Callithrix jacchus: one gene and its partners. The protein of the gene in region 1 interacts with the protein of each later gene in a pairwise test. Links are inferred from orthologs where the notes say so. Each region holds a gene or a part of one and is shown on either strand. Other genes may lie near its edges. The genes, in order: CCDC136, TXLNA, PSMD9, JMY, ATP5PO, MOS and SHFL.

Region 1 (3,995 bases):
TGGTGCCACCTTGTGTTCCCCAAGGAGCCCCTAGTCAAGACCTGTATTCAAGATGAGTCATCAGGTGTGAGGGTCAAGTTGAGAGGCAGCCCCTCCACCTCCCAGGCCTTTCCTGGACCAATGTTCACTTGATAGCCTCCTACCACTGCCTGTGGGCAGGCTGGTGCCTGCTCAGCCATGAGACACTTGCACAGGATTATCTGCTTCTAGGCTACCCTCTGAGCAGTGGAACAAGTAATCAAGAAAGGAGACAGTGAGCGGATCTTTAGGTCAAATGAGGTAACAGTTGCAGTTTGGAGATTTCTAGAAAACAAAACAAAACAAAAAAACTGGCTGGGCGCTGTGGCTCATGCCTGTAATCCTAGCACTTTGGGAGGCTGAGGCAGGTGGATCACTTGAGGTCAGAAGTTCCAAACCAGCCTAGCCAACATGGTGAAACGTCTCTACTAAAAAAAATTAGCTGGGCGTGGTGGTGGGTGCCTGTAATGCCAGTTACTTGGGAGGCTGAGGCAGGAGAATTGCTTGAACCTGGAAAGTGGAGGTGGAGGTTGCAGTGAGGCAAGATCAAGCCACTGCACTCCAGCCTGGGCAACAGAGTGAGACTGTGTCTCAAAAAACAAACAAACAAAAAAAACCCAACCAAAAAATATCCAGGTGGCTTGTGAAAAATCAGCCTTTCCATGATAAGAAAGCATTGCCCATCGGCAGGTAGGGAAAGGAAATATCTGATTGTAGAGGTTTCATCGGACAAACTCTGGAGCCCTTTGAAATCATCAAATACCTGTTTCAAATTTTCTAGAAGGTCCACCTCGTTTTTCCCTGTTGGCTGTCACAGGTCTCCTCTCCCCTAGCTGAGGAGGCCCCTCCTGCTCTGCTGACCACAAAGCAGTTTTCAGGGGAAGTCTTAGCCTGTACCTGTGCATAAAAGAAACGCTGCCATTCTAATGCATTAAAGAACTGGGGTTTGGTGCTGGCCCCCAGCCTCTGGTTGCGAGCACCCCCTCCTTTACTGCAATGCAGTTCCTATAAATAGCAAAATGTTGTCTGAATGGTGATTGTTTGCTTTGTTTTAAAATTCTGAATCTCTGGTCTTACTTTCTCTAATATCAGCAGCCTTAGGTTCATGTGGGACCCCTCGTGCCATCTGCCCCCCTTAGGGGGAGCAGGTTTCCCTATACTGAATGTGCAACGTGCCACACTTCACAGGAAGTCCTGGAAAATGGACCAGCGTCCTTCCAGGGGCCTGGTGTTGGCAGCAACTGCCAAGTCACATGGGTGTGGTGGGGACACACGTGTATTGGGAGGATGGCCTCACTCGCCCCCTCCTAGGCTTTCTCTTTCAGGCAGTAAGGTATCCGAGAGAACCAAAGCCACAGGCTTCCATTCGAAGTTAATGGTGGTGGCCCCAGAAAGACAATTCACATGCCCACTTCCTTGCTTTTTGAAAGAAGAGACAGCTTGGGATCTGGGTCGGCAGGCAGTGAGAACAAACCCCCTGCTGAAAAGCTGCTTCAAAGCTCTGTCCAACAAGGCCTCTCTCTGTCTGGCAGCTCCCTCGGGACACACAACCTGGTTAGCTGAGTGATTGGGGTCCCAAAGGGGTGCACTCTGAACTTCTGTCGAAGTCTGAACCCTGGGAAGGGCTGGAGCTCTGAGTTGCAGGAGGAGGGGCTAAGACGAACTGAAGGTAGGGCTGTGTCCTGGCTCAGAGGCCTGAGGGTCAAAGGGAAGAGAGGGAAGGGGATTAACGGAGGAGGGGAAGGGGAAGAAAGAAGCCTTTTGGGAAAACTCACCCTCCATAGCTTGCATCCCCCGTCGTTCCAGGGACCCCCAGCGTTGGCCCTTCTTCCTCTCACAGCCCTCCGAAGCCTCATAGGAGCCTAGAGTGGTCACTGTGGGTCCTGAGAGCAGGGCGAAAGGAGGTGCTGAGGGCTGGGGTGCAGAGGAAAGAGGGAGGCATGGCTTCCAGCCCCTCGGAGCCCTGGGATCTGGAATCCCAGTGGAGGTGCCTGACTCACTCTGCCGGCTCTACGTCTCCCCTCTCTCGGCTACGTCTCACGCTCTGCCTGCGGGGACCCCAGCCCTGCCGCCCAACCGCCTCAGACACTCCTGGTTCCAGGCCCCCCTTGCTTGCACAGACAGAAAGAGGGGGTGTGTGTATTTAGCCCCGGGGGACAGGGAGGAGAGAGGAAAGACTGAAAGAGGGCGGGAGCCAGTGAAAAGAGGCTGAAAGGGTGAGGCGGCCTACAAAGAGAGGGAGAGAGGGAGAGAGGGAGGGAGGGAGGGAGGAGTGGGGGGCGTGCGTGAAGGGATAGGGCTGCGGCCGCTCCCCTCCCCTCCCCTCCCCTCGTATTCTCTTACTGGACCTCGCCCACCCCACCCTCGCCCAGCGCTCTGGAGCCTCCGGGGCTGCAGGGGGTGCGGGGTCTGGAGCCCCGAGTACTGGAAGCACCGTCGGGCTTGAGTGGAGAGATGAGCTGGGGAGGGACCTACAGGCAGGATGCGGCCGGTGCGCAGAAGCCCCAGCCCCAGGCCGGAAAGATGGAGACCGGGCCCAGGTGGAGGCCAGGATGGAGGGAGGAAGGCTTCGGGCGGAGAAGAGGGAGCCGCGGAGTCCGGGAGCACCTGGGGGTCTGGAGGGAGGAGGGATGGAGGAAAGAAAGGAGGGGCGGTGGAGAGGTGAGGGACGGGCGGCTCTGACCTGGGCCCTGGCAGCTCCAGCCCGCGGCTCCCGCGCTGGTTCCGGCGCCCGCCTCCATGACCGCTCCCGCCGCCGCGGCAGCTTCCCAGAGCAGAAGCCGCAGCCGCGAGCCCGGGGACCGGGAGCCGGGTGCGCAGGGAGGAGGGAGGGCGGGCGAGGGGGCGGGGCCTGGCCGGGCCTCCTGACACCGCCCCCCGCTGCCCGCCGCCGCCCGGAAGCCCTCCCAGCACCCAGGAGCTCCGAGTGGGTGCTGGGGCGGCGCGGGAGGGTGAGCGCGACCCCAGATACCTCCCAAGGCTCTCCCCGAGGGAGCGCCGGGGGCCGCCGGGCCGGGACAGCGTCGGGAGCTCTCAGGCTTCAGGCTGTCCCAAGAGGGAGGGGTGAGATCTCCTGGTTCTGGCGGCGGGTCCCGCGGGGTCTGCTGTACGCGGGGACCTTCCGCACCAGGTGTCAGGGCCCGGTCATGCTCAGCAATGGGGACGGCAAAGGGCAAGGTGGGACTGTTTCCTCCAAACGCGCGGACACGTGCGCCCCTTCCTCCCCCACCCGGCCGGCGCCCCCACCTGGCAGCCGGCGCGGACTCCGGCCTCAGGTCCCTCCCAGCCCCGCCCGGGGGCCCCTTGGCAGCTTGGGGGCCGGAGAGATGGGCTAACGCAGGGCCCTGACCTCTCCGCTTTCCGCGCACCCTCCTCCCCCCAGCCAGGGCCAGAGACCCTCTTAGGAGGGGCCCTCCGATGGCCCCACCAAGCCTCAGGGCCCGAAGACCCCCCCCTCCTCCGTTCTGCCTTCCCTTCCGGTCCCACACCTGGTGGGCTGCGAGCCACGCCCCCACTGTCGCCCACTCGAAGTGGGCACGACTGATGGTCATTCTCTGGAAGTGAGATTTGGAAGCCCAGGCGGCTTATTTCGCGTCTTAACCATTGCTTTATTCAAGGAATGCCTGCTGGGTGGGTGCCGGCTCTCTAAGAGGCAGTTCTCACACCCCGGCAGGTCTCAGCAAGGATCAAAGTGGGTACAGTTGGGAACAGGGGCTTCCCAGAACATCCAGGAAACGTCTGGGAGATTCCTAAGCCGGGGACACACGCGGATCCCCTCTCTTGCACATCCATTCCCAGGTCGAGGGCTAGGATTGTCTGCGTTCCCCCAGCTGCCAGAAAGGGGTCCGGATCCCGACAGAGAGAGAGGGTTCCTGGATCTCGAGCAATCGAGAATTCAGGGCGAGTCCATAGAATAAAGTGAAAGCAAGTTTATTAGGAAAGTAAAATAATAAAGAATGGTGGGTTGCCCATTTTTA
Region 2 (4,185 bases), on another chromosome or scaffold:
TGTTTGGCTCCTACCATTTTAGCTGCTAACTATGAAAAAATCTAGAGATCTAGATTTCTGGCTTTTCTTAAAAAAAAAAAAAAAAAAAAAAAAAAAGGCTGGCTGCTGCCTAGTTAAGAGCAACTAACTAAATAGCAATAAAGCCTTTGGCTAAAGTAGGCTCTATCTTCATGGAGCCCCATAGGCAGCCCAGCTTATGTAGACATTTGGGTTTCCAACTCTGGGCTAGTCTGATTTTCTTACTGTAAACAGAAGTAGAAACTAGGACCCAGAGAGGAGAAGGGGCACACCCAAGGTCACAAGGCAGGTAGTACTGGCTGGCACAGGAGGCTACCCGGACCTCCTGCTCTCCATTGTCTCAAAGAGCAGGTCACACATCAACCTCCCGTTGCTCCAAAAGCCAGAAGACCTTGTGCTGGAAACCCCTGCATCTTTCTATGTGTGACTCCCACATCCCTGGCTTTGATTAGACTAGGGTGACTTGCTGCTCTGAGAAGTACCATTTCCTCTGAATCCTGGCAGAACAGACTTGCCCAGAGAACATCAAGTCCAAATTCCCTCCCCTCACCAGCTGCACAAAGAGCCACTCTCTGCTCACCCAAACCCTTGGCTTTTTTCTTCTCCTGTGGCCTTCGGTGGTCTCGGTCTCCCACATCATCACTCGGCCGGATCTCTTCTGTGCCTGGCTCCCCCTTGGAGGGTACCTTTTCTCCATTGACTACTGGAGATGGCTCAGGCTCCCCATTCCTTGCCACATAGGTCCGGGACTTCTCTGCATCTTCCGGCTCACCCTGTGCCCCATCCTCGCCTGGGCCCCCCTGGTTATTGTCCACACAGTATGTGCTCAGTATGTCTTCCAATTGGCGGCTCAGCTCCTCAGAGACATCACGGAGGGCCCCAGATTGAGCTGTTTTGGCTTGTGCCCCTAAAGCAGGAAAGAATGAGAAAGAAGACAGCAAATCTAGTTCCTGTCAGAATTTAGATTCAAAACTTTTTTTTTTTTTTTCCAGATGGAGTCTCACTCTGTCACCCAGGCTGGAGTGCAATGATGCAATCTCAGTTCACTGCAACCTCTGCCTCCCAGGTTCAAGCGATTCTCCTGACTCAGTCTCCCGAGTAGCTGAGATTATAGGCATGCACTACCACACCTAGCTAATTGTTGTATTTTTAGTAGAGACAGGGTTTCTCCAACATGGAGGTCAGGCTGGTCTCAAACTCCTGACCTCAGGTGATTCACCTGCCTTGGCCTCCCAAAGTGCTGGGATTACAGGCGTGAGCCACCATGTCCAGCCTCGAAACATCTTTTAAAAGAAATTATAGTCATCGTTGCTTAACTTTTTTTTTTTTTAAGATGAGGTTTCACCGTATAGGTCATGCTGGTCTTGAGCTCCTGACCTCAGGTGAACTGCCCGTCTCAGCCTCCCAAAGTGTTAGGATTACAGGTGTGAGCCACTGTGCCCGGCAACTTTTTTTTTTTTCTTGCCAGACTCAGGTAATGGATGCTCAACCTCTTTAAGTCTATTTACTTGTAAAATGACACAACTATTTCTTACTATCACCCGAACATGTTGGTTACAAACATAAAAGTATGTAAAGCATCAGCACACAGGGCTGGCATGAAGCAACTTCTAGTCCATCTCCTTCCCCCCTCACCAACCACTTCTTGCCATTCAGATTGTTCTAGAAATGCCTCAATCCAGGAAGGGCAGTTAGCTGTTGGTGGCTGAGGTGTTTCTAACAGGACCTGGATTTCCTGACTGGGTGCCTCGTTTGGCTGCCACCTGACTTAATCCTGTCAGAGCTTCTCTCCAGAGAAGAGAACTCTGTTCCTGTGCTCACCAACTCGCCAGGGCGCCGGAAGGACCGCGGCCCCAGCACTGCCCTCTCATTCTACATCTCCTCCTCTGCACAACCTGGCCTCGGCCTCTAAATCCAGAAGTGAGGCCAGGCGCACAGCTCCTCCCCCTGCCCGCTGGCAATGCAGAGCTGGCACACACCCTCCGGCTTCCGAGGAGCCTGCCCGCTGCCGGGACCTTCAGCTTCTGCCGCAGGAGCCGCCTGGCTGGGCCGCTCCTGGGTTCCCTCGGGTACCGCTTCCGGTTGTCCCGGGCTGCTTTTTGGGTTGGATTGTTTGGCAGCCCCGTTCTTTTTGTCTTGGTTCTTCATTGTGATGAGCGATGCTGGGTCAGAAGGAGATCCTTTAGAAACAAACACAGTTGCAATTTTTCAGACTTCGAAATTCTTCGCAGTCTGGATCAGAAATCCCCACAGCAGGCGCCCAAAGCTTCTTAAACGGACCGGCCGGCCCCGGCGGAGGGCGCCAACGGCTCTCCGGTCTTGGCGGGTCAGGGGAGCCCGGTGTGCCGTAGCAGGCTTTCGCAGCGCAACGGAAGAGGAAAGAGGCCTCTTTTTCTTCTCGGAGCCACTTCCCAGCACAACCAACCCCCTCACGGCAGGCCGAGAGCGGGATTGGCTCGGGGCCGGAGACTGACGTGGCGGGGCGCAGGAGTCGCGGCGCCGCCCCCGCCCCTCAGGACCCACGTGCGCCCCCCGCGCGCGCAGCCACCCACGCCCCGCGCGCCCTCCAGCCGCGAGGCACGCCCGCGCATGCGCACACGCCCTAGACAGCCCCCCGGCCCACGCGCGGAGTCGCCGTGATTTCCCCACAGGCCGAGAACATCCCGGCCCGTACACCCTCCGATTGTCTCTCCCACCGGTCGCCGCGGCACGCACCTCACAACCGACGTCCGACGGCTTCTCCAGCTCTGGCCTCCACCGGAAACCCCGAGTAACCACTGCCGGCGAGCAGCCTGCACCCGCCGCAGCCAATCAATAGCCGGCGCCGGCGCGGAGCTTGCTGGGAAGGACGAAGCGAGGGCGGCCTTGGAGGCGGGCGGGACCTGAGGGCGGGGCAGCGAAAGGACTACGCGTCCCTCTGTGCGCTGGGGCTGGCAGCAGCTCCCAAAGTGCAGACGGGGCAGTAGTTCTGGGAGTCCAAAAAGAGCCCGTCATTCCGCGCAAATGCCCAGGTCAACCTTGTTTCTATCTCGCAGAAGTTATGCCTCAGCTCCTAAAGCCTTGCGCCTAGCATTGTTTCCTGCAGGCCTCCGTCAAGCCTTCTTCCCTGGCCTTGAACAAATGTGACTCCATCCAGGAATTCCGACGAATCGGGAAGAGGGATAGAGTCCTGGGATGAGGCCCAGGAGACCCCTACTCCAGTCCCAGCTTCATCATGGATTTGCTGTGGCTCCCTGGGCCTTAATGTCCTTCTTCCCAAGGAGGTGTTTAATAACAATAATTTCCTTGAGCGCTTACTGTGTGCTTTCCGGTATCTAATAGCTTCATTCTCATAAGCACTCATTGAAGTAAGTACTGTTAGCGCCATTTTACGGAAAAGGACAGTAAAGAGAAAGGCTGGGTAACTTCTCCAAGGTTACATCGATAGTGAGTGGTTAAAACGGATTCAGAATTGTTAACTCTGACACCAGCACCCAGGTAACTTCTCGGCTTCCCTTTTTCTTTTTTTTTGAGACGGAGTTTCACTCTTGTTACCCAGGCTGGAGTGCAATGGCGCGATCTCGGTTCACCGCAACCTCCGCCTTCTAGGTTCAAGCAATTCTCCTGCCTCAGCCTCCCGAGTAGCTGGGACAACAGGCGCGCCCCACCATGCCCAGCTAATTTTTGTATTTTTAGTAGAGACGGGGTTTCACCATGTTGACCAGGATGGTCTCGATCTCTTGACCTCGTGATCCACCCGCCTTGACCTCCCAAAGTGCTGGGTTTATAGGCGTGAGCCACCACTCCCGGCCTACCTTGTCTTTTACCCAGAAGAAACACCACCACAGCAGGTTTTCCAGAGGCAGTCAAGGTAACTTGTGAACATAGGTCATATTTTCCCCTCTCCTTTACCATTTGGCAGTCAATTCCTCAGGAAGGTGCTGAGTTAAGGCTTCAGGCATATTCTAGAGCCTTTTCTCTGACTGCCCCACTGTCTACTAAAGTCTCACTGGGTTTAAAGTAGAAAAAAAACACAATTCTCTACACGTGAGATCAGAAATTCTGTATCCCCGTTGCCTCTGGATAATGAAATCAAACCCAACAATCTTTGTGCCTGGAATTTGAAGCATAAGAGGTTTGGCTTTTGTCAAACTTAAAATCTTTTGAGGCCCAGTTCAAAGGTCACTG
Region 3 (3,500 bases), on another chromosome or scaffold:
AAGGTCAGGAGTTCAAGACCAGCCTGGCCAACATAGTGAAACCCCATCTCTACTAAAAATATAAAAGTTAGCCAAGCATGGTGGCTCATGCCTGTAGTCCCAGCTACTTGGGAGGCTGAGGCAGGAGAATCGCTTGAACCCAGAAGGAGGAGGGTGCAGTGAGCCTAGATCACGCCACTGCACTTCAGCCTGGGCAACAGAGTGAGACTTTGTCTCAAAAAAAAAAAAAAAAATGTAGACAGGACATTTGCCCTAGAAGCCCCCACACAAGCAGCCACAGGCACAAGGCGGACCCAGGACTAGAGTGACGCTCTTGCTCTAGGTCCTAAGAACACAGACCATCACTCATTCACCTCTTTAACAAGTATTTGTTGTGGGCCAACCAGCACTGTGCTAGATGCTGTAGATGGGGTGGTGAAAGAAACAGAGCTTCTATGTAACTTACAGACTTGTGATCACTAAAGAAGACTGGCAGGACCCGGATTTAGGACCCCATTCTACCCGTCAGGAACTGACACAAGTCAGTTATGTGTCCATAGAGACAGAAAGTAGATAACTGGGAGTGGGGGAGTTGGGAGATTGGGAGGTGATGGCAAATCACTGCAGAGGACAATGACAATATTCTGAAATTGATTATGACTGGCCATGGTGGCTCATGCCTATAATCTCAGCACTTTGGGAGGCCAACGTGGGAGAATCACTTGAGTCCAGGAGGTCGAGACCAACATATGCAACATAGAAAAATCCCATCTCTCTCTCTCTCTTTTTTTTTTTTTTTGAGAGATCTTGGCTCACTGCAACCTCCACCTCCTGGGTTCAAGTGATTCTCCTGCCTCAGCCTCCTGAGTAGCTGGGATTACAGGCACGCGCCACTATGCCCAACTAATGTTTATTTTTTTAGTATAGACAGGGTTTTGCCTTGTTGACCAGGCTGGTCTCGAACTCCTGACATCAGGTGATCCTCCTACCTAGGCCTCCCAAAGTGCTGGGATTACAGGCATAAGCCACTGTGCCTGGCTGAAAAGTTTTTAAATAGAAATAAAATTGATTGTAGTGAGGATGCACAGCTCTGTGAATATGCTAAAAGACATTAGGCTATATACATACTTTAAATGGGCAAATTTTATGGTATGCTAATTATATCTCAATAAAGCTGTTAATTTTTTTTTGAGACAGCCTCACTCTGTTGCCTAGGCCAGAGTACAGTGGCATCTCAGCTCACAGCAACCTCCACCTTCAGGATTCAGCGAGTCTCCTGCCTCAGCCTCTTGAGTAGCTGGGATTACAGGTACCCACCACCATGCCCGGCTAATTTCCATACTTTTAGTAGAGACGGGATTTTGCCATGTTGGCCAGGTTGGTCTCAAACTCCTGACCTCAAGCAATCCACCCGCTTTGGCCTCCCAAAGTGTTGGGATTACAGGCATGAGCCACCACGCCCAGTCAAAAAAAAGTTTTTTTGTTTGTTTTTGTTTTTGTTTTTTTTGAGATGGAGTTTCACTCTTGTTACCCAGGCTGGAGTGCAATGGCACCTCGGCTCACCGCAACCTCCGCCTCCTGGGCTCAGGCAATTCCCCTGCCTCAGCCTCCTGAGTAGCTGGGATTACAGGCACACACCACCATGCCCAGCTAATTTTTTGTATTTTTAGTAGAGACAGGGTTTCACCATGTTGACCAGGATGGTCTCGATCTCTTGACCTCGTGATCCACCCACCTCGGCCTAAAAAAAAGTTTTTTTAAGACAAGGTCTCAGTCACCCAGGCTGGAATGCAGTGGTGCAGTCACAGCTCACTGCAACCTCAACTTCCAAATCCCAAGTGATTCTCCCATCTCAGCTTTCCAAGTAGCTGAGACCACAGGTGTATGCCACCACTCCCAGCTAAATTTTTTTTTAGAGTTAGGTCTTACTATGTTGCTCAGGCCAGTCTCAAACTCCTAAACTCAAGCAATCCACCTGCCTCAGCCTTCTCAAGTGCTGGGATTCCAGGCATGAGCCACTGTGCCCAGCCTAATTTTTTTTTAAACACACCAGGTAAGATGCATAACGCATTTGGCAGGATTTCATTTTCATTTTTATCATTCAGTGCCCAGCTAAAATGAACCCCAAGAAAAAATCCTCCTTCCCTCTCTTGGGACATTTATCATCTGTCACTGGGAACAGGTCACTCCCCCACCAATGCAGTTGGCAGCCGGGGCTGATCCCTCTCTAAAATTCTGTCACCCAGGCTGGACTAGAGTACATGCTCACTGCAACCTCTGCCTCCCAGGTTTAAGCGATTCTCGTGCCTCAGCCTCCTGAGTATCTGGGATTACAGGCACGTACCACCATGCCTGGCTACTTTTTTTTGTATTTTTAGTAGAGATGGGGTTTCACCATATTAGTCAGGCTGGTCTTGACCTCCTGACCTTGTGATACACCCACCTCTGCATACCAAAGTGCTGGGATTACAAGCATGAGCCACTGCACCCAGCTGGACAGTTTGTTAAATGAGTAATTGAACTCAGCACCACAGCACAGAAGGAGCTGGTCTGTCTTACAGAGTTTCCATACCCCCAAAGGCTACCTGACCCACAGTGTCCTCTGGGCATGGACTTGAGTGGCCAAGCCCTGGATTACCGCAATGCTGGCTGGGGAGCCGGGGCTGATGCTGTTCACTTTGGCGAAGGCCTGAGGAGGACCCTGGCTCTCACTCTGGCCCAGTTTGCGGTTCATGGCCTCTTTATGGGCCTCAGCCATGTCCCGGGCCTGCTTCTCCTTGTCGCGAGCATGCAGCTGGTGCAGAGCCTCTTCCACCTGCTTCATCACCGCCTTATGATCATTCTGCAGGCCTGGGAAAAGAATGACACGTCAGGGGCCAAGGAAGACGGCGGAGGACACAAGACTCACTGAAGAATTAACAAGTTCTTATTCAACACCAGATCTAGGGCTAGAGGCGAGGATGAATCCCTGATCAAGAAAGAGGACCTTCCCTCATGGAGCATTCAGTCCTGCAAAGAGCAGCTCCAGAATAAGTAATTACAATAACATCTGATGACTGCAGGGAGGCCTGGCCAGAAGCAGAGTCTGACTTCGCTAGTCTAGGAGATGAGGGAGGGCTTCCTGAAGGCAGTGCTGTCTCGGTGAGCCCTGAGAGGTAAGCATAAGGAAGGTAACGTCTGGCTGAATCCATAGCCATGAGTTCAAAGGCATACGTGGATCTGGCTTTGTAGTCATGTGAATGAATGACTTGGGGTGGGTGTAATCAAGATTTCACTTTTCGACCAGGCGCAGTGGCTCATGCCTGTAATCCCAGCACTTTGGGAGGCTGAGGCAGGTGGATCATAAAGTCAAGAGATCGAGACCATCCTAGCCAACATGGTGAAACCCCATCTCTACTAGAAATACAAAAATTAGCTGGGCATGGTGGCGTACACCTGTAGTCCCAGCTACTCAGGAAGCTGAGGCAGGACAATCGCTTGAACCCAGGAGGTGGAGGCTGCAGTGAGCCAGGATGGCACCA
Region 4 (3,500 bases), on another chromosome or scaffold:
TTTCAGATTCCTGGCAAAAATTTTCCCACTCCAGGACCAAGAACTAACCAACCAAACAAACCACGGAAGACTATCTACCACTTTATGAGCCATGCCCAGGCATTTCTGAATCTCACTTTAAGTTCAGCCTAGGACGTTGATTACATTTACCTAGAGAGATACCTTATGGATTACAAGGATTTCCATCTAAAGCAATTCTCTTCTGCTGTTCCACTCACATACTCTCACCTCACTATCCAGTCAACGGATCCCAGAACCTAGCCAGGCTGTGAACATAGAACAAAGCAAAACACCAGATACTTGGCATTAACTAGCTTTTACCATTCTTGTAAATATCTGAGAATGACCCAGTCATTTTCATATATCTCATGTGAAAAAAGCAACTACATAACTTAGCATCCACTTTTGAGAGTGAAAGGGGACATTATTAGCATTTATAACCAGACGATCAATATTACCATAAATAAGTATGACATAAACATTAAAACCTTATTTTTACCATGTTTGCCTACTTCCACAACCACATATGTCTTATTACTGCTACATATATGTATTTTTAAAGTCTAGATTCCATGCCCACAAGTTTCTTTCTGAAATCAGTTATTTCGTGGGTTTATGCTGTCTGATTAATACTAATTTTTTTTTTTTTTTTTGAGACAGAGTCTCACTCTGTCACCCAGGCTGGAGTGCAATGGTGGCTCACTGCAACCTCCACCTCCTGGCTTCAAGTGATTCCCCTGCCTCAGCCTCCTGAGTAGCTAGCACTACAGGCACGTGCTACCATGCCCAGCTAATTTTTTGTATTTTTAGTAGAAATGAGGTTTCACTGTGTTAACCAGGTTGGTATCAATTGCCTGACTTCGTGATCTGCCCACCTCAGCCCCCTAAAGTGCTAGGATTACAGGCATGAGCCCCTGCACCCAGCCTTAGTATTAATTTTTAATTCTAACTTGATTTTTTTTCATGTCCCCACCAGCTAGAAATATTTTAATTTGTATTTTCAAATGCAGATGCAGAGTTTGCAGGGTGGTACAGAAGCCATAGCCCGATTGGATCAGTTAGAAGCTGACTATTATGACCTGCAACTTCAGTTGTATGAAGTACAGTTTGAAATCTTGAAGTGTGAAGAGTTACTATTGACAGCACAACTAGAAAGCATCAAAAGACTTATATCAGGTATGGTATGCATTTAACTGCATAAGTTTACAAAAGATTGAATATGTGAGAAAATGCATATGGACACCAGATATGTTTCTTCTGTTAAGATGTTAAAAAAAATTGTTTTTTATAGGGATAGAGTTGGTGGGGGTGATGTCTAGCATTTATTGAACACTTGCTGTGTGCCAGATACTGCTAAACACTGTGCATACATTCATTCTATGAGGTGTATTAAATAATAATCACCATTTATAAAGAAGCTTGAGAGGTGATGGCTTTGCCTAAGATTACAGAGCTAGTAACCACATTAGAACCCTGTTCTTTCTGAACCCACAGTCCATATTCTTAACCAGTACTCTTTTTTGCTGTTCTATAACAGAAAAAAGAGATGAAGTGGTGTACTATGACACTTACGAAAGCATGGAGGCCATGCTGGAGAAGGAAGAAATGGCAGCGTCTGCATACTTACAGAGAGAAGAGCTGCAGAAACTTCAGCAGAAAGCACGCCAGCTGGAAGCAAGACGTGGACGGGTTTCTGCCAAGAAATCCTACCTCAGAAATAAAAAGGTATTTAAATATTGCTTTTGTTCATTGCTTAGTCTTTTATCCATATCTACTAATTTCATCTGTTTTGTCCTTAAAACTTGCCTGTGTTTTAAAAAACTAAGTAAGTGCTATCTCTTGTCAATGCTCGATATGTTTATAGTGCTTTGAGAATTGCCCTCTTAAACACACTGGAACAGCCAATAGTGATGTTCTCTTTACCTCCAGAAATACAGTGACTCTGCTAAAGGGCACGACTACAGGATCCCTGATAATGCGATTCCTGGCTCCCTTTTTATTTAAGGAAGCCCAGTAATGTGTTACAAGTTTTGCTTCTGACCTTAGTCTTAAAGGAATTTTATAGATATTTATTTATTTAACTTTTATTACATTTCAAAATGTTTGATTCTTGATATTTGGAATGATTCATTTTGTGGAAATGTGATTCTTCCTATGTCTTAGAAAATGTTTTGCACTGTAGTCCAGATATTAACTATTGTGGAGCTGTTTTAGTCACTGTAAGTGTGGAGTTGAAATCTGAAACTAGCTCAACAACCTAGACCAAACTGATGACTGTGTGGTACTGATTTACTTTAAGCTGAAGTATTATGAAAGTATGTCATGTTCTCTGAGAACCCACCTTCCTGCTCTTCACCACATTCCAAGGCTATGACTGCCTCGTTTTACAGAAAATCAAAGACCTTTGCTTTTTGAAATAGATAGTTCTTGCACATTAAAGAAACTCAGGCAGACATGTCTCCGCAGTAAGTCAAGAACCCAGGACCTTCTGTCACTTTGTCCATCAACAGAACAGTTACCTTGGCATCCAGAGCCATGACTTTCAAATAATTATGTGCCTTTGCTATTTCCCCATGATGGTAGTAATTGAAACCCACTGCTGTTTCAGCCCTGGTATGAGCTTCATTTCGTGTTCCAGTCTGCATCAACCAAGTAAACATTCAGGCCAGGCGTGGTGGCTCATGCCTGTAATCCCAGCACTTTGGGAGGCCGAGGTAGCTCCATCATCTGAGATCAGGAGTTTGAGACCAGCCTGGCCAACATGGTGAAACCCTGTCTCTACTATAAATACAAAAAATTAGCTGGGCGTGGTGGCACACGCCTATAATCTCAGCTACACGGGAGGCTGAGGCAAGAGAATCATTTGAACCTAGGAGTGGAAGTTGTAGTAAGCTGAGATGGTTCCTTGAACTCCAGCCTGGGCAACAAGAGTGAAATTCTGTCTCAAAAAAAAAAAAAAAGCCATTGCAGTGATTTCAGCAGGTCATATAGAACAGTTTTAGGGGAGAATGAAAAGTAAACAAGATTTCAGAAGAGCACACTTTTTAGAAATGTTAGGAGTATTTTATCTATTACTTTTAGGTGTATAATGCAGGACTTTTGAGACTAGTTGGAATTTGCAAGCCTGCAGGTTTTTGAAAATGCTGTGCAATTCAGACTTAATTGAAAGTCTGATTTCTTTCTTTCTTTTTTTCTTTTTTTGAGATGGAGTCTTGCTCTGTAGCCCAGGCTGGACTACAGTGGTGCAGTCTTGGCTCACTGCAGCCTCTACCTCCCAGGTTCTGGTTCAAGCAGTTCTCCTACCTCATCCTCCCAAGTAGCTGGGATTATAGGCACGAGCCACCATGCCCAGCTAATTTTTGTATTTTTTAGTAGAGACAGGTTTCACCATGTTGGCCAGTCTGGTCTTGAACGCCTGGCCCTGTGATCCGCCTGCCTCAGCCTCCCAAAGTGCTGGGATTACAGGCGTGAACCACTGCACCCAGACGTCTGATTTCAGT
Region 5 (3,500 bases), on another chromosome or scaffold:
TCTAAGAGGCCTGTGTTCAAATTCTGGTCCCACCTCGTAATGACCTTGGGTAAGTGACTTCATTTTCCTGCGTTCGGTTTCCTCATTTGTAAAATCAGGATAATTACACTTCTATCTCACATGAATCTTTTGATAGTGTATAAAATAATGAAGAACTCGGCAGAGAGTAGCGTTCAATAAATGGTAGCCCATTATACCCCACTCTATCAAGTCAAAAAGATACAAAGGCCCATCTGCTCTACTCCTTCCCATTTGCCACCACAAAAGAGGAAAGATTAGTAACTCTAGTTTCAGGCTGGGTTACACCTCTACTTCCAGCACTTTAGGTGGCCAAGACAGGTGGATCACTTGAGCCCAGAAGTTTGAGACAAGCCTGACGAACACGGTAAAACCCCACCTCTACAAAAATAGAAAACAATTAGCTGGGTGTGGTGGGGGTGTACCTGTAATCCCAGCTACTCAGGAGACTGAGGCAGGAGGATTACCTGAGCCCAGGAGGTTGAGGCTGCAGTGAGGTGTGACAAAGTGAGACTCTGTCTCAAAAAAATAAACTCAGGCTGGGTGCAGTGGCTCACGCCTATAATCCCAGCACTTTGGAAGGCGAAGGCAGGCAGATCGCCTGAGGTCAGGAGTTTGAAACCAGCCAGGCCAACATGATGAAACCGTCTCTACTGAAAATATAAAAATTGGCTGGGTGTGTTGGCTCACACCTGTAATCCCAGCACTTTGGGAGGCCGAGATCACGAGGTCAGGAGATTGAGACCATCCTGGCCAACATGGTGAAACCCCATCTCTACTAAAATACAAAAATTAGCTGGGTGTGGTGGCGCGTGCCTATAATCTCAGCTATTTGGGAGGCTAAGGCAGAAGAATTGCTTGTACCCAGGAGGCGGAAGGCGCAGTGAGCCGAGATCACAGCACTGCACTCCAGACTGTGACAGAGCAAGACAGAAAAGAAAGAAAGAAAGAAAAAAAAAAAGAAAGAAAGAAAAAGAAGAAAGAAAGAAAGAAAGAGAGAAAATTAGCTGGGTATGGTGGCACGCATCTGTAATTCCAGTTTTTCAGGAGACTGAGGCAGGAGACTTGATTTAACCTGGGAGGCAGAGGCTGCAGTGAGCTGAGATCACGCCATTGCACTCCAGCCTGGGTGACAGAGTGAGACTCTGTCTCAAAAAAAAAAAAATTAGCCGGGTTTGGAGGTGGGCACCTGCAATCCCAGCTACTCGGTAGGCTGAGGCAGGAGAACTACCTGAACCCAGGAGGCAGAGGTTTCAGTGAGCCAAGATTGTGCCATTGCACTTTCAGTAAACTACTTCAAGTGGTAGTTCTAAACCACCCTTTTCTCACACATTTTGATGTTCTTTCCATTTCACCCAGGCCTTATGAATAATCACCGGTTACAGAAGCACTAATAAGATGTATGCTGATGTTTCCAAAGCAAAGGGTCACAGAAGCTGATATAAAAATGAAGGAAACATCCCAGCTGACAAGTTACTTTTTCCAATTTCTTGATTTTACCTTGTTTTTTCCCTTTTCTGCAAAAGGCGACATATGTAACATCAAGGCCAAGACAGCAGCAACAACCCGTTACTTACAGATGCGGTGGTCACTGTGCAGGGAACCTCTCCGCGGTGGACACTCATCATGGTAGAAAAGGCAGAAACAACTCCTTGGGTATTGCTTAAGCGACCATTTTCAGCAAGCAAATCTGGTGAAGTGAAGGTGTTTCAGTAACATGAAACTCACTTGAACAAGTTATTCATGAAGCTGTATACTTAACCCAAAACACAAACTTAGATTTCTGGCTTTAAAACACCATATTGAGTGGCGCATGCCTATAATCCCAACTACTGGAGGCTGAGGTGTGAGGATTGCTTGAGGCCATGAGTTCAAGACCAGCCAACATAGTGAGACCCTGTCTCTATAAAAAACATTAGGGCTTGGTGGTACGTATCTATAGCCCCAGCTACTCAGGAAGCTGAGGCAGGAAGATTGCTTGAGCCCAGCAGTTGAAGGCTGCAGTGGGCTATAATTGTGCCACTGCACCACAGCCTGGGTGACAGAGTAAGATCTTGTCTCTTAAAAGTCACAGTATATTCAATGTCCTTTAAGAATGTGAATAGAGGCTGAGTGTAGTGGCTCATGCCTGTAATCCCAGCACTTTGGGAGCCTGAGGTGGGCAGATTTCTTGAGTCCAGGAGTTTTAGACCAGCCTGGGTAACACGGTGAAACCCTGTCTCTACAAAAAGACCCACAAATATTAGGTGGGCGTGGTGGTGCATGCCTATAGTCCCAGCTACTCAGGAGGCTGAGGCAGAAGGAGCACTTAAGCCCAGCAGGCAGAGGTTGCAGTGAGGCGAGACTGTCCCACTGCACTCTAGCCTGGGTGACAAGAGAGGGACATCCAGTCTAAAGTTAAAAAAAAAAAAAGAATGAATGGAGAAGATACAACTTGTTATTTAAAATGCATATCCAATTTTATTTTTTTAATAGACCATACTGACAAGGATTCAAATTAGTAAGTATGGGGAGTTCTCACCCATACGAATCTGCAACAGACTTCTTATACTCAGCTTGCAATCTGATTTTCATTTTAGGTTATAGCTTATAATGTTGGCTACGAATTCAAAGATGATAACATGAATATACTTTCTTTGGAACTTTTGAGCTGGCTATGAGGATCTGAGAAGCGACCCCAGCCGCGGAGCGGCTCACGCCTGTAATCCCAGCACTTTGGGAAGCCAAGGCAGGCAGATGACTTGAGCCCAGGAGTTCAAGACCAGGCTGGGTGACATGGAGAAACCTCATCGCTACAAAAAATAAAAAAAATTAGCTGGACGTGGTGGTGTGTGCTATATTCCCAGCTACTAGGGAGGCTGAGGTGGGAGGATGGCTTGAGCCTGGGAGACTGAGGCTACACTGAGCTGAGATTGTGCCACTGCACTCCAGCCTGAGTGACAAAGACTATGTCTTAAAAATGAAAAAGAAAAAAAGGAAAAAGAAAACGAAAAGCAGTCCAAACGTATCTGAGAATGCAAATGTCTCTAAGGATCAAGGTACAGCCACAGGCCACAAACCTGTGGCTTTCTTGGTAGGTATTACATTGGCCACCTCCATGGCTGAAACCACTGACTATTCAGTTAGACACACTTAGGTCCTAGTATCCTTTAGACAGTGCCCCTCACACTTAAATGTGCAAACAATTCACGTAGGGAGCTGGTTAAGATGCAGACTCCGATTCAGCAGGTTGCTGTGAGGCCTGAGATGCCTCACTGCCAACAGGCTCCCAAGTGATGCTGATGCCCACGGGCCATGGACCACATTTCCAATCACAGTTTGAAGACACCTCAAATGAAAAAGTTCTCATACTCACTGATCAGGTTCGTCGTGAGGGGAGAGAACCTCTCTTTTGCTATGATGTCACTTAGGCTTTTCACTTTAATGGAATGCTTCACATAGGGATTCAAAACAGAAGCAGCCACTTTGGGTTCCTTCAGGAT
Region 6 (2,884 bases), on another chromosome or scaffold:
GAAAATTACTTTTTTTTCTTAGAGTCAGGGTCTTGCTCTGTCATCCAAGCTAGTGTGCAGTGGCACAATCATAGCTCACTTCAACCTCAAACTCCTCATGCCCCAGCCTTCAAAGCAGCCAGGGCTACAGGAGTGCACCACTACCCCCAGCTAACTTTATAATTGTTTGTAGAGGCAGATCTTGAATTCCTGGCCTCAGGTGGTCCCTCCACCCCAGCCTCCCAAAGCACTGGGGTTACAGGCATGACTCACTGTGCTTGGTAGAAAATTAATTTTCATTATGAAAATCAGAAAGGAAGAACTTATTGATGGCCAGAACCCTGAATTTCATTTCAACTTCCGGTTTTCTACATTATATGTAGGTACCAGTGATTTTATGCCACTTTTTTCTTTCAGATTTTTCCTCTTCTACAATTCTCCCATATGTGTTATTATTTGAAGCCCTGATCACAGTTCTGAATTATTTCTGTTCTTTTTTCTCCCCTAATGCTGCTTTAAAACTTCTGTAACTCATTTGCTAGAAAGTCTAGAATCTCTCTTGCAAATAAGCTGACCGGGTGGGCCAAATCGCCTTGGAAGGGAAGGATTGTTAGGAAGTCAGTATGTTGCTAAGACATCTTGCTAATTTGCTGTGTACGCCCATAGAGCGTCAGGGAAGTCTCCTTTCCACTGATGAATTCAGGTGTGTGTTACGACCTGTATCAGCGATTCTGTTTGGATTGATTAAGGCTGCAATTTTTTATCCACATGAATGTTGCACCTAGTTTTCCCCCGTAATTGGTTAAACAAATGTCTGCTGTTTGTATTTCAACTCTCAGCCAATAACTGCTGGAAGTGATTTAATGCAGCTGGAGAACAACACTGACAAACATTACGGCCTGCGAAGTGTGAAACAATTTCATTGTGCTTTGTGATCTCTTTGGTCTGAGGACTGATCATGTGCAGCGGATGAGACCTGAAAAAAACTTGTTTTATTACAGTTAAAGAAATAATGTAAAAGTGGGGTGAGTTCTGGGGCAGCTCTGTGCTGTTTATCTGGAGAGAGCTTGTTTTTACAAGAATTCACTTCAAGTGTGGAAGGGAAATGCTTTCATCTGAAAGGGATTGCTATGCTTCATTCTGGTTTCTCCCTCCATCTGATAAAAACCCTTGCTGAGTGACAGCACAGATGTAGCTCATTTGGAGCAAATGAAGGAAAAGGAGAAAAAGGCTAGGGGTGGAGCTTCCAAAGTCCCGCGGTTTTTTCTGGTCTTTTCATTCACCCCAGCGGCCCTGGTGTCCCCCTAGAAAGTGCGATGCCCTCGCCCCTGGCCCTACGCCCCTACCTCCCGAGCGAGTTTTCCTCGTCGGTGGACGCGCGGCCCTGCAGCAGCCCCTCCGAGCTCCCTGCGAAGCTGCTTCTGGGGGCGACTCCTCCTCGGGCCCCGCGGCTGCCCCGCCGGCTGGCCTGGTGCTCCATTGACTGGGAGCAGGTGTGCTTGCTGCAGAGGCTGGGAGCCGGAGGGTTTGGCTCGGTGTACAAGGCTACTTACCACGGTGTTCCTGTGGCCATAAAGCAAGTGAACAAGTGCAGCAAGAACCGACTAGCATCCCGGCGGAGTTTCTGGGCCGAGCTCAACGTGGCAAGACTGAGCCACGACAACATCGTGCGCGTGGTGGCTGCCAGCACGCGCACGCCCGCGGGCTCCGACAGTCTAGGGACCATCATCATGGAGTTCGGTGGCAACGTCACTTTACACCAAGTCATCTACGGCGCCGCCGGCCACCCTGAGGGAGACGCAGGGGAGCCCCACTTGCGCACTGGAGGAGAGTTAAGTTTGGGAAAGTGTCTCAAGTACTCCCTAGATGTCCTGAACGGGCTGCTCTTCCTCCACTCGCAAAGCATTGTGCACTTGGACCTGAAGCCCGCGAACATCTTGATCAGTGAGCAGGATGTCTGTAAAATTAGTGACTTCGGTTGCTCTGCGAAGCTGGAAGAGCTGCTGTGCTTCCAGACACCCCTCTACCCCCTAGGAGGCACATACACCCACCGCGCCCCGGAGCTCCTGAAAGGAGAGGGCGTGACCCCCAAAGCCGACATTTATTCTTTTGCCATAACTCTCTGGCAAATGACTACCAAGGAGGCGCCCTATTCAGGGGAGCGGCAGCACATACTGTACGCGGTGGTGGCCTACGACCTGCGCCCGTCCCTCTCCGCTGCGGTCTTTGCGGACTCGCTCCCGGGACAGCGCCTTGGGGACGTCATCCAGCGCTGCTGGAGACCCAGCGCTGCGCAGAGGCCAAGCGCGCGGCTGCTTTTGGTGGATCTTACTTCTTTGAAAGCTGAATTCGGCTGACTGAAAACCTGGGTCAAGATAAGCTTTTGTCTATTTGTTGTTGTTGTTGTTTTTTTAAAGGAAGTGGAGATATCGAAGAAAACATATTTGTAGGATACAGTTTTAGAGAATAAAGTTACTAAAAATTTTAGTCTCCAGTGCTTTTTCTGAGACACATAGTTCCAATTCTCGTACCTGTTGTCTCAGTACTGTTAGTAACTAACCTTATTAATTCATATCGTTATATTCTTTGCCTTTCATAGGTAGTATTGCATTTATTCAAATTTATTATTGATAAAACAGTTTGTCCAACACAGAACTCTACTGCAGAAATGTAAACATTTTCTATAAATCCACACATATTCCATGCCTACCACATAAATTCCAACTATTAACTATGTACTTGCTCCCACACCAAATCAGTAAAAGCTTTTTAAAAATAAGTAATGCTTTCCTATTACTCTCCCCAGTAAAACTTGTTTGTAATGACCTTCACACATAGAAGCCATAAACTGAGATATATTTACATTCAAAGGAATTATAAATGACCTAATGTAATATTTTTGTGC
Region 7 (4,166 bases), on another chromosome or scaffold:
GTGATCCAGCGGAGGCAGGATGGTTCGGTCAACTTCTTCACTACCTGGCAGCACTACAAGGTGGGCACAGGCGGGCAGAGGCAGGGCAGGGGAGGGAGCCTCTTCTGGCCTCCTGACTTTCCTGCCCTTCCAGGTGGGCTTTGGTCAGCCAGATGGAGAATACTGGCTGGGCCTTGAACCTGTGTATCAGCTGACCAGCCGTGAAGACCATGAGCTGCTGGTGCTCCTGGAGGACTGGGGAGGCCGTAGAGCACGTGCCCACTATGATGGCTTCTCCCTGGAACCCGAGAGTGACCACTACCGCCTGCGGCTTGGCCAATACCATGGTGATGCTGGAGATTCTCTTTCTTGGCATCACGACAAGCCCTTCAGCACCATGGATAGGGATCGAGACTCCTATTCTGGTAAGGAGAACTCTTATTCTGGTGGGAGGATAGGGGAGACGGGACTCCTGTTTTGGTGTGGGAATAAAAGGAGATGGGATAGGTAAGACGCCCCTCTTTAAGTATTAAGATAAGCAAGCTTTTATTCTGTCAAGAGAACAAGGGACAGTACTTTTATTCTGGTGAGGGGACAGGGAGCCTACATTCCTTCTCTGATGAGGCAAAAAAAAAAAAAAGGAATCAAGACTCCTGTTTGGGTGAAGGGCAGAGGGTGAAGGCTAGTACTCTTATTCTAGAAAGGAAGTAGATAATTACTTTCTTTTATTTGATAAAGGAATAAGCAGTAGACTCCTAGTTTGCAGAGAAGGTGGGAAAGATGTGACTTGTACTTTGGTAAGGAGATAGGGAAGGAATTAAGGCTATTACTCTGAAGAAAATCGGGGAGCCAGGGCTCCTATTTTGCTGAGGAGATGGAAGATCAGGGCTTGTATTGAATAAGAATAGGAGGGGCCAGGGGATGCCTGGCAAAAGCCTTACACTGTGAGGTGCAGATAGAGGCTTTTATTCTGATAAGGGGACATGGACTCTCTCTCTCTCTCCCCTAGGTAACTGTGCCCTGTACCAGCGGGGAGGCTGGTGGTACCATGCCTGCGCCCACTCCAACCTCAATGGTGTGTGGCACCGTGGTGGCCACTACCGAAGCCGCTACCAGGATGGTGTCTACTGGGCTGAGTTTCATGGCGGGGCATACTCTCTCAGGAAGGCCACCATGCTCATCCGGCCCCTGAGGCTGTGACTCTGTTCCTCTGTCCCCTAGGCCCCAGGGGACATTGGTCAGCAGGAGCCCAAGTTGTCCTGGCCACACTTTCTTTGTGGCTCAGTGCCAATGGGTCCCACGGAACTTCCCCTCCGTGGATCTGTGACCCTGGGTGCTGCAAATGGGACCCAGGAATCCCCCCCTGCCAATATCTCGGCCCCAGATGGCTCCCCAAGGTCATTCATATCTCGGTTTGAGCTCGTATCTTATAATAACACAAAGTAGCCACAGACCGTGTCTGGTTTGTGTCTGCACCTGGCAGGGGTCACTCCCTGGGCCTGCCCTCCTCTTCCTCCACCTCCTCCTCCTCCTCCTCCTCCTCCTCTTTCAGGTCCTCCAGGATGAGGTTGTCCAGGTCTTCCAGGAGGCCCCCCTGGCTCAAGCAGGTGGCCACAGTGGAGCCACTGCTGATGTGAGGGTTGCTGGGGTGGAGCACTTTGGGCAGGTGGTTCTGCTTCCGGCTCTTGGGGTGAGCACAGGACGTCCCAGGCACGTGGGGCTCTAGGGAGGGAAAGGTGTTGCTGGCATGGGGTTTGAGGTCCTGGGAGAGTCTGAGGAGGAGGGGGCTGAGGCCATTCGGGGCTATAGGGAGGAGCTGAGGCCACAAGATACGGGGAACAGAGTGACCAGACATTCAGAGGTGTTGAAGATACAGGAGACCCAGGGACATGGGGAGTCACCTGAGACTACAGGGGACAAAACAGGGGCCCCAAACCCAGAGACCATGGGGGCAGAGGCCATAGGGACCCTCAGGTATGGACCCTCAGAGCCTCGTGGGCAAGAGCACGGAGACTGGGGGGCCACCTAGAAGCAGTGGCTGCTGCCGTGGGAGATGAAGTGGACTGAATGGAGATTTGGGGACTTAAAGGGACAGAAGGGGATGAAGACTGCCCAGGCTGTTAGGGGAGAAGAGCCTCACCTCGACGGTTGTAGCAGTCAGCAGCTGAGCAGGAGTGAGTGTGGGTGCTGCGGCGATCCGTGTCCCGGTCCCAGCGCGGGGGGAGGATCCGTGTTGGATACACGGGGAAGCCGCACCCGTAGCAGGGAGACGGGGACCCCATCTGTGCCCAGCCCCTGGGGGCGGGCAGGGCTGTGAGGGTCCGAGGGCGAGGCTGGGCCAGGGTGGGGCCAGGGCAGGGAGGGGCAGGGCTGGGGTGGGGTAGGGCTGAAGGGGAGCTGGGGGTCAGCGCCCTCACCGGAAGTTGTGCCGACACTTCGGGCAGTGGAACTCAGCCAGGCCCCACATCTTGTCGGCTGGCACTGGCTCGTAGCGCTTCCGGCATTTCCGGCACCGGGATACCTGGTGGTGGTGGGGAGGCGGGTGTGGAGAGGGGACCAAGGGTTGTTAGAGGGTCAGGGGTAACTGTGCTGCATCGGCTGGCCTGAGCTTGACCAAGGCAACTCAATCAGCGACTTTATATCCATAGCTTGATATTGACCATGGTGGGAATATTTACACCATGGAAATTGGCAAACACTACACATCTCGGCTTTCTGCCTCTTTTGCAAGACTTAAGCATTGAACAGAAGCAAACTACTGGTCAGGAGGTTCAGAGGCCAGATTCGGGGCCGTGTTTTTGAGGTCAAATTTGGTTTCTTTCTTTTTTTCTTTTTCCTTTTTTTTTTTTAAGAGACAGAGTCTTGCTCTGTCACCCAGGCTGGAATGCAGTGTTCTGATCATGGCTCACTGCAGTCTCAACCTCCCAGGCTCAAACAAGCCTCACACCTCAGCCTCCTGAGGAGTTGGGACCACAGGCACACACCACCACTCCCAGCTAATTAAAAATTTTTTTTGCCAGGTGCAGTGGCTCATGCCTGTAATCTTAGCACTTTGGGAGACTGAGGCAGTAGACTGCTTGAGCCCAGGAGTTTGAGACCACTTGGGCAACATGGCAAAACCCCATCTCCACACACACACATACAAATATAAAAATTAGCCAAGTATGATGGTGCAGGCCTGCAGTCCCAGCTACTTGGGAGGCTGAGGTGGGAGGATCACCTGAGCCCAGGAGGTGGAGGCTGCAGTGAGCTATGATCACACTGCTGTACTCCAGCCTGGGTGACAGAGTGAGACTCCATCTCTTAAAATTTTTTTTTTTCTTTTCTCGCCCTGTCACCCAGGCTGGAGTGTAGTGGTGCAATCTCGGCTCACTGCAACCTTCGCCTCCCAGGTTTAAGCTCTTCTTCTGCCTCAGCCTTCTGAGTATCTGGGATTACAGGTGCCCACCACCAGGCTTGGTTACTTTTTGTATGTTTTAGTAGAGACAGGGTTTCACCATCTTGAACAGGCGGGTCTTGAACTCCCGACCTCATGATCCACCCACCTTGGCCTCCCAAAGTGCTGGGATTACAGGTGTGAGCCACGGCACCTGGCCCAAAAAATTTTTCTTTGGAGACAAGGTCTTGCTCTATCACCCAGGCTGGTCTCCAACTCCTGGGTTCAAGCAGTCCTCCCTGCTTAGCCTCCTAAAGCACTGAGATTGCAGCCACGAGCCACTGCACCTGGTCAAGGTTGATTTCTGTAGTAGCTGTTCAACTGTGGGGTCAGGGGTCAGGCTTTGGGGTAAGGGGTTATTGGGCTTCTCACGTTGAAGGTCAGAAGTCCAGTCCTGGGCCAGGGGTTGGGATCAGAGATCAGGGCTGCGCTCTGAGTTTGGAGGTCAGAGATTGGGCTCTCAGTGATTGAAGCCCATTAGGTCAGAGGTACAGTCACTGAGGATGGGAGTTGGGAGTGGAGTTCAGGACAGTCAAAGTCAAGGTTAAGTTGTGGGTCATCACCTCCTTCCGCTGGGGCACGCGGCGCCACCAGACGTGGTCGCAGGAGGAGCAGGCGAACTGCCGGTCCACAGCGGGGATAAGGTCGTCCTGGGCCCGTTGAAACATGCGTAGGTTGGCTTCTGTCAGCGGCAGGAGGGAGGTCGCCACTGCCTGTGGAATGGGGCAGGAATGGGGCAGGTGGGGATGAG

What was found.
Region 2: the proteins of CCDC136 (region 1) and TXLNA interact in binary tests that used the Homo sapiens proteins (3 or more experiments, as listed by UniProt). The two-hybrid records come from large-scale screens. The link is inferred for Callithrix jacchus from reciprocal best matches to the Homo sapiens genes CCDC136 and TXLNA.
Region 3: the proteins of CCDC136 (region 1) and PSMD9 interact in binary tests that used the Homo sapiens proteins (3 or more experiments, as listed by UniProt). The two-hybrid records come from large-scale screens. The link is inferred for Callithrix jacchus from reciprocal best matches to the Homo sapiens genes CCDC136 and PSMD9.
Region 4: the proteins of CCDC136 (region 1) and JMY interact in binary tests that used the Homo sapiens proteins (3 or more experiments, as listed by UniProt). The two-hybrid records come from large-scale screens. The link is inferred for Callithrix jacchus from reciprocal best matches to the Homo sapiens genes CCDC136 and JMY.
Region 5: the proteins of CCDC136 (region 1) and ATP5PO interact in binary tests that used the Homo sapiens proteins (3 or more experiments, as listed by UniProt). The two-hybrid records come from large-scale screens. The link is inferred for Callithrix jacchus from reciprocal best matches to the Homo sapiens genes CCDC136 and ATP5PO.
Region 6: the proteins of CCDC136 (region 1) and MOS interact in binary tests that used the Homo sapiens proteins (3 or more experiments, as listed by UniProt). The two-hybrid records come from large-scale screens. The link is inferred for Callithrix jacchus from reciprocal best matches to the Homo sapiens genes CCDC136 and MOS.
Region 7: the proteins of CCDC136 (region 1) and SHFL interact in binary tests that used the Homo sapiens proteins (3 or more experiments, as listed by UniProt). The two-hybrid records come from large-scale screens. The link is inferred for Callithrix jacchus from reciprocal best matches to the Homo sapiens genes CCDC136 and SHFL.

What each region holds. Positions count from the first base shown.
Region 1 is NC_133512.1:118,390,240-118,394,234, forward strand, and holds the start of CCDC136 (coiled-coil domain-containing protein 136), read right to left. Parts: upstream 2,801-3,995; 5' UTR 2,760-2,800; coding exon 2,702-2,759; exon of another isoform or gene 2,559-2,701; coding exon of another isoform or gene 2,473-2,558; exon of another isoform or gene 2,350-2,472; intron 1,902-2,349; coding exon 1,794-1,901; intron 1,688-1,793; exon of another isoform or gene 1,542-1,687; intron 1-1,541. UniProt on the Homo sapiens protein: May play a role in acrosome formation in spermatogenesis and in fertilization.
Region 2 is NC_133508.1:68,785,030-68,789,214, reverse strand, and holds the start of TXLNA (alpha-taxilin), read right to left. Parts: upstream 2,801-4,185; 5' UTR 2,734-2,800; intron 2,199-2,733; 5' UTR 2,167-2,198; coding exon 1,998-2,166; intron 926-1,997; coding exon 599-925; intron 1-598. UniProt on the Homo sapiens protein: May be involved in intracellular vesicle traffic and potentially in calcium-dependent exocytosis in neuroendocrine cells.
Region 3 is NC_133510.1:125,101,993-125,105,492, reverse strand, and holds part of PSMD9 (26S proteasome non-ATPase regulatory subunit 9), read right to left. Parts: intron 2,830-3,500; coding exon 2,618-2,829; intron 1-2,617. UniProt on the Homo sapiens protein: Acts as a chaperone during the assembly of the 26S proteasome, specifically of the base subcomplex of the PA700/19S regulatory complex (RC).
Region 4 is NC_133503.1:131,680,389-131,683,888, reverse strand, and holds part of JMY (junction-mediating and -regulatory protein), read left to right. Parts: intron 1-1,010; coding exon 1,011-1,176; intron 1,177-1,537; coding exon 1,538-1,725; intron 1,726-3,500. UniProt on the Homo sapiens protein: Acts both as a nuclear p53/TP53-cofactor and a cytoplasmic regulator of actin dynamics depending on conditions. In nucleus, acts as a cofactor that increases p53/TP53 response via its interaction with p300/EP300.
Region 5 is NC_133522.1:39,981,383-39,984,882, forward strand, and holds part of ATP5PO (ATP synthase peripheral stalk subunit OSCP, mitochondrial), read right to left. Parts: coding exon 3,374-3,500; intron 1,709-3,373; coding exon 1,596-1,708; intron 1-1,595. UniProt on the Homo sapiens protein: Subunit OSCP, of the mitochondrial membrane ATP synthase complex (F(1)F(0) ATP synthase or Complex V) that produces ATP from ADP in the presence of a proton gradient across the membrane which is generated by electron transport complexes of the respiratory chain.
Region 6 is NC_133517.1:12,478,820-12,481,703, reverse strand, and holds MOS (proto-oncogene serine/threonine-protein kinase mos), read left to right. Parts: upstream 1-1,287; 5' UTR 1,288-1,295; coding exon 1,296-2,336; 3' UTR 2,337-2,384; downstream 2,385-2,884.
Region 7 is NC_133523.1:9,283,112-9,287,277, reverse strand, and holds the end of SHFL (shiftless antiviral inhibitor of ribosomal frameshifting protein), read right to left. Parts: intron 4,129-4,166; coding exon 3,979-4,128; intron 2,501-3,978; coding exon 2,397-2,500; intron 2,275-2,396; coding exon 2,120-2,274; intron 1,702-2,119; coding exon 1,466-1,701; 3' UTR 1,180-1,465; coding exon of another isoform or gene 989-1,179; 3' UTR 501-988; downstream 1-500. Other genes in the region: ANGPTL6 (angiopoietin-related protein 6), read left to right, coding at 1-60, 134-404, 989-1,179.